Linked DNA regions of Callithrix jacchus. The protein of the gene in region 2 binds, or shares a complex with, the protein of the main gene of each other region. Links are inferred from orthologs where the notes say so. Each region holds a gene or a part of one and is shown on either strand. Other genes may lie near its edges.

Evidence for each region. The genes of interacting proteins can lie anywhere in the genome.
Region 1: STRIP1 (region 2) and PDCD10 share a complex: the UniProt entries of both Homo sapiens proteins name them as parts of the core of STRIPAK complex. The link is inferred for Callithrix jacchus from reciprocal best matches to the Homo sapiens genes STRIP1 and PDCD10.

What each region holds. Positions count from the first base shown.
Region 1 is NC_133518.1:19,357,089-19,360,087, forward strand, and holds part of PDCD10 (programmed cell death protein 10), read left to right. Parts: intron 1-1,692; coding exon 1,693-1,771; intron 1,772-2,073; coding exon 2,074-2,156; intron 2,157-2,999. UniProt on the Homo sapiens protein: Promotes cell proliferation. Modulates apoptotic pathways. Increases mitogen-activated protein kinase activity and STK26 activity. Important for cell migration, and for normal structure and assembly of the Golgi complex.
Region 2 is NC_133508.1:147,906,129-147,909,814, forward strand, and holds the end of STRIP1 (striatin-interacting protein 1), read left to right. Parts: intron 1-222; coding exon 223-427; intron 428-2,203; coding exon 2,204-2,451; 3' UTR 2,452-3,183; downstream 3,184-3,686. UniProt on the Homo sapiens protein: Plays a role in the regulation of cell morphology and cytoskeletal organization. Required in the cortical actin filament dynamics and cell shape. Part of the striatin-interacting phosphatase and kinase (STRIPAK) complexes.

The DNA.
Region 1 (2,999 bases), on a different chromosome or scaffold from region 2:
CTGTGTAATTTGTTCCCTTGTATTCCATTTTAAATAACTCCATTGCGGATTTGGAGAAACTCGCACATTTTTAGAGTTAATATTTTTTTGTTGTTGAAACTGTAATTTTTCTTGCATAGAATAGTCCTATGATAGCATTTTGTTAAACAGTGGTAGGTTTATGTCCATCACACCAGTATATAAAGATTAACTTGCTTAAGCCATAAACGAAGGAATAGTTATCTAATTAAAAACTGCTGTTACTAAACCAGAGGCAAAAAAAAAAATTGGACAGACAACATTTATTTTAGACTTAGTGTCCTACTTGAATACGTAATGTTTTCAAGTTTCAGCCCAGTACGAGTGTTTGACCTGAGAGAGGTAATAAGTAAAATGTTATTGAAATAATTAATGAAAATGTAATTACTACTTCAGAATAATCTAAAATACTTGTTTATATCAAAATTCTGTATGCTTTTAATTCTTAAAGTTTCTGCATGCTTATTTACTGAAAAATATGCTGGGAAACACATGCAAACAGAAATGTGCACACTGAGGTTTTTTTCCTTGAAATAAGAGTGCTGAAATGTTTCGATATGAAATAACTTAAATCTGACATTTGTAATTAATGTTAGTAATAAAATGTTATGTTTAGGATGGGGCAGATTTACATCTTACTCATTTCTTCACAGTTCCATTTGAACAGGTTTTTGTAGTGACTAACAGCTAAGCGAATGGAAGTGAAAAAGAAGGTTAGTTTTAGAGAATGTGAGACTATTTAAGAATGCAGAATTACATTACAGTTTGACAAAAAAAAATGCTATGAGGTTAGAATGGAAATCGAAAGGGGCTAGCTATAAAGTCAGAAAATGTTCAGAACAAATGGTGCATGGATAGGAAGAGCAGTCAACTCAAATGAGAATTACTGATTTCTTCTTTTTCTTTCTTTAGAAATGGGAGGAAGGTGTTGATGCTTATATGGTCAAAGAATGATTTCTGGAAAGGTTAAAGTAGAAGAATATTGTGATGTTGTCTCCCCCAGTAATTTAAATATATTTTCCAAGGGAATAGTGACTGACAGCAAGTGTTTGCAAGAGGAGGATATTTGGTGGCTGGGTGGAACCTAAAAGTGTCTATGAAAGAGTAAAGGAGGAGGAATATTTTCTTAGAGGAGAGGAATCTTTTCTGAGGAGGAACTATTTTATGTTAAACATCAAAACTAATAGTTATCTAGCATCAGTGTTGTTAAATACAGAATTGAGTTATATGTATACGTAATGCACAATTTAATAAAATCATTATTAATTGTTCAAATAACAAAAGTAGAGAATATGATAGCTTGAATTTAGCTCCGTTAGCTAGAGCAAAGACAAATTTTAAAATGGGAAAAGACAGGCATAGGTAATGTTTATCCTTTTATAAATTTGAGTAGGGAATGCTGAATGAAATGTGATTGATTGGAGAAAGTTGGTATTGGTTGGCAGCCTTGGTGGGTGATGCAAGAGAATTAGGATTACAGAGGGATACATGCTAAAACCCCCTCTTCAACCAGCCAGCCAAGAGGTTGGCTCTTGATGAAGTGATTGTACTTACGATAATTGTGTGCTGTGATTAGATTGAGTGTACTTAATTTCTTTCAAATATAGCTGATGTTCTTTTCTTTCACAAATTTCTTTCAAATGTAGCTGATAATCTTTATTATTTTCCCAACAGGGATATAGCTAGTGCAATAAAAGAACTTCTTGATACAGTGAATAATGTCTTCAAGAAATATCAGTACCAGAACCGCAGGGTATGTTTAGTAGAAGCCTTCCTAGTTGACTGCCTAGTTTTATTGATTTAAAAATAAGATTGATTATTGGAAATAGGTTTGTGTCATTAACCATTGAGTTTATCCTTGAATTTAAATATGCCTTTTTATTTAAAAAATAATTTAAACAATTATTTAATAATAATTTAATAAATAATTGTTGCCTATTAGTAATATTCATATAAACCATCCCATATTCTGTGTAATCTCCTGTCCTTGCCTTTGGCTTCTGTGATTATTTCTCTTACTTAGTATGTTTTTCTTATTATATTTCATGTCTGTAGGCACTTGAACACCAAAAGAAAGAATTTGTAAAGTACTCCAAAAGTTTCAGTGATACTCTGAAAACATATTTTAAAGATGGCAAGTAAGTACTGTAATTTATCCTTTACTTTTAAAGTTAAATAGGTTATGTTGTTTTATATGATAAGAAAACCATATACATTAAGCCCTTTTACTTTAGTGTTTGTATTCCAGGCAACTGGTAATCAAGGCAGACCATTAAAAATAGAAAATGAATGGTTGCAAATCTAGCCATAACTCCATTCTAGAGCAGGAGTTATCAGACGTTTTCTGAAAAGAGCCAGATAGTAAATATGCTAGATTTGGTGGGCCTGTTGCCATTATCCACCTCGTCTCTATTATTGTAGTACAGAAACAAGCCACTTGTTTGTACAAACAAGTGTACAAACAAGGAGGGGTGACTGTGTTTTAATAAAACTTTATACAAAATTCAAATTTCAGTATCTTGAAATAATTTTTACCTGTCAGATAATATTTTTTTTTTTTTTAGCATTTAAAAATGTAAAAAGCATTTTTAGTGTATTGGTCTACTTTATACACTCCTGAAACAATGGTTCTCAAACTTTAATAGCATCAGAGTCATATGGAGGACTTGTTACAGCACAAATTGCAAATTGCTCAAGGGTCCCACTTCCAGAATTTCTGATTTCTTTGGTCTAGGGTGGAGCCCAAGAATTTGCATTTCTTAGAAATTTTCAGATAATGCTGACATTACAGGTCGGTTGAGAACTACTGAACTAAAGTTAAAGCAATAGTTATCAATCCTTCTTATGCATTAGAGTCACTTGAGGCTAGTTTTTAAAAAATTTATTGCCTAGGCCCCACCTGCAGAGATTCTGATTCAGTTGGCTGGGAGTGGAGCCAGGCTTTAGATGTTACGTAAAAGTGTGCCAGATGTTTTTAAAGT
Region 2 (3,686 bases):
AAGTGACCCATAGTTAGGGTGACTGACCATCCTGGTTAGCCTGGAACTCTACTGGTTTTAGCATTTAAAGTCCTATGTATCAGGAAACCCTTCAGTCCAAGGGGAACTGGGATGGTTTGTCACCCTGCCCATAACTTCCAGAGGGTTAAGCGGCAGTGTGACCCGACCGTCTGCATTTAGTTCTGTCCTCACCTTGGGCTGCTTTCTGATCTCCCTTCCTAGATGCTGGTGGTGTTCAAGTCAGCCCCCATCCTGAAGCGGGCCCTCAAGGTGAAACAAGCCATGATGCAGCTCTATGTGCTGAAGTTGCTCAAGGTGCAGACCAAATACTTGGGGCGGCAGTGGCGAAAGAGCAACATGAAGACCATGTCTGCCATCTACCAGAAGGTGCGGCATCGGCTGAACGACGACTGGGCATACGGCAATGGTGAGGCTCTGCACTCAGCCAGGTTGGGATTGGGGTGTTTGGGAAAGGTGACATCTTTCAGTCCCTGCCCGTGGTACTCAGGCACTTCTCTGCCCTGAGCTTCCCACCGAGGAGCAGGAAGGAGCCCAGCTCCTGCTTTTGCTGCCTCAGGACAGGCACTCTAGGAAGGACGTTGGGAAGCTACCCAGGCTTGGCATCTCTGATCATGCCCCATCTCTCCCTGTCCCTCCCAGTCATTCATTTTCTAGAAATTGTTTAAAGACTTTGTCCCCTCTTTTCACCCCCATTTTGGCTACCTAAACTCTTATAGTATAGTTCCAGACTGACTTCCCTTCCTCCAGTTCCTTCCCCTCCATCAGTGTCTCAGATTTCCCTAGTGATTCTTTTTTACTTTAATTTTTTATTTTAAAGATAGGGTCTCGCTCTCTTGCCCAGCCTGGAGTGTGATCTCGGCTCACCACAACCTCTGCCTCCTGGGCTAAAGTGATCCTTCTGCCTTAGCATCCCAAGTAGCTGGGACTACAGGCACTTGCCACTATGCCCAGCTAATTGTATCTTTTTTGTAGAGATAGGGTTTCACTATGTTGCCCAGGGTGGACTTTTTTTTTTTTTTAGATAGAGATTCTGTCGCCCAGGCTCTCAGCTCACTGCATCCTCCATCGCCCAAGTTTAAGCGATTCTCCCACCTCAACCTTTCAAGTAGCTGGGACTACAATTGGATGCCACCTCATCCAGCTAATTTTTGGATTTGTTGTAGAGACAGGGTTTCACCATGTTGGCCGGGCTGGTCTCAAGTTCCTGGTCTCAAGTGATCCACCCGCCTTGGCCTCCCAAAGTGCTGGGATTATAGGCATGAGCCACTGCGCCTTCTCAGGGTGGTCTTGAACTCCTGGGTTCAAGGGATCCATCAGCCTTGGCCTCCCAAAGGGTTGGGATTATAGGCATGAGCCACTGCACCTGGCCCCCTAGTGAATCTTTTCAACATGCAGATCCTGTGCTGTTACTGCCCTGAGTAAAATCCTTCATTAGCTTCCTATTTCCCTTAGAATTAGACTCAAACTCTTAGGCAGGGCATGTGAGGCTCACTCGTCCTTTTTCATTCTCCTCCTCTGCAATCTGACCCAGCTTCCTTTTCAACCTTGTTCCCTGCTGTCAGCCCAGCCTCCATCATACCCAGGGCAACAGGCACAAGGAGTGCTTGGTCCTGGCACATGAGCCATGTGGCTCCCACTGCCAGGCTCTGCAGGCACTCTTCCTTCTGTCCGCAGTACCTCCCCTGCCCACCTGGGCTGCTCTGTGTGTGTGTTGCTGCGTTGTTGTGTACCTGGAATATAGCACCATGGCTAAATGACTGTGTCTGTACTCCCAATGCCCTATGAATGTGTGCAGGCCCATGGTGGCACGCAGTACCTGGTCAGGGAGTTGGGAGAGAACGAGCAAATGAGAGTATTGCCAGGCTTCCTGCCTTTGACCCCAGAGAGCCAGGGAGAATGCCACTTAGACAGAAACGTATTGAATACATGGCTCTCCCTCTCTGGGTCTACATAATCCGTACAGTATAAGCCTCTTTCTCAGTACCTCTGTCTTTTCTGCTTATCCTTGACTCTCCTTTGGATCTAGGAGGGAATTCCTGTCATCTTTCTGAGGATGAACTCGGAGGTGTCCTGCTCCTAGTTGACACTCAACATTCCTAGCCAGGCCCCTGAGCTGCAGTGAATCCATGGGGAGCTGCCACAGGGCTTGGCTCCTAACTGTGTTCTTCCTGCTTTGTCTCAGATCTTGATGCCCGGCCTTGGGACTTCCAGGCAGAGGAGTGTGCCCTCCGTGCCAACATTGAACGCTTCAATGCCCGGCGCTATGACCGGGCCCACAGCAACCCTGACTTCCTGCCAGTGGACAACTGCCTGCAGAGTGTCCTGGGCCAACGGGTGGACCTCCCTGAGGACTTTCAGATGAACTATGACTTGTGGTTAGAAAGGGAGGTCTTCTCCAAGCCCATTTCCTGGGAAGAGCTGCTGCAGTGAGGCTGTTGGTTAGGAGACTGAAACTGAAAGAAAGGATGATCTCAAGGTACTTGCAGTACTGTCCTAGTTCATTGCTGCAGAGCTCCCACTCCCCTCCAGGTGGCAGCACAGCCCCACTGTGTCCTCCACAGTCTCTTCTGGGCTTTGGTGAGCCCAGCTTGACCTCCCCGTTAGTTCCCAGGGTCCTGCTCAGAAGCAGTCATCTCTGCCTGGGATCCATTCTTTCTTTACTTCCTCCACCCTCCTCTCTTGGACATGGTTGACTTTGGCTCATTTCACAATCAGCCCAAGGCTGGGAAAGCTGGAATGGGATGGGAACCCCTCTGCAGTGCATCTGAATTTCAGGGGTCAAGCTGACGCCTCCCGAGACAGACAAATCCTTGCTTTGTCAGCTTGCAAAGGAGGAGGGTTTAGGATTAGGGCCAGGGCCAGAAAGTCAGTATCTTGGTTGTGCTCTGGAGTGGGGGTGGGGGGTTTCTGATGTCATTCCAGCCTCCTGCTACATTATATCCAGAAGTAATCGCAGAGGTTCCTGCAGCTGCCTCAGCACTTTGATTTTGGACAGGGATGAGATAGGAAGAGAAGCTTCCCTTAACCAGAGGGGCCATTTTTCCTTTTTGCTTTTGATGGCTTGTAAATATCTATATATAATTCCGTGTATATTCTCCTGTGTCATGTTGGGGTTTTTAATGTGTTTGTGTATTCTGTTTACATTAAAAAGAAGCAAAATAATTCCCCTTGGCTTGTCTGCAGGAAATATGGCCTCTTTTTATCTCCTCCAGGTCTAGAAAGTGTCTTTTTTCCTTCAGTATTGCTGGTCACCGCTTGTCTTTGCCAAGCTCCCCGCCACTCCCATCCTGGGGGAAGAGGAAGGGGGGGTTGGCATTTATCCAGTGTAAGTTAACTCCACAGTAATCTGGGATTGCTCTCGCCCAACTCCAGAGCACTAGGTTACTCTATTGATGAATTGTCCTGCACCCCTGGGTTTGCTGGAATTTCAGTAGGAGCCCCGGGTTTCTCTGGATCCCATCCCTGAGCTAGCCTCAGCCAAACCAGTGTCAGTGCTAGGGAGGGAGGGACTAGGTGAAAGCAAGAGGATCAGCTGCTCTAGGCCCTCCCTGGGGTAGGTGGTTGGGACTGATCGGAAACTTAAGTGTTGGAGCCTAGGAAGCAGACCATCAGGAGTCAGGGCATGGTAGGAAACAGAGTTGGAGGGCCGAGGACCCCACTGTGGG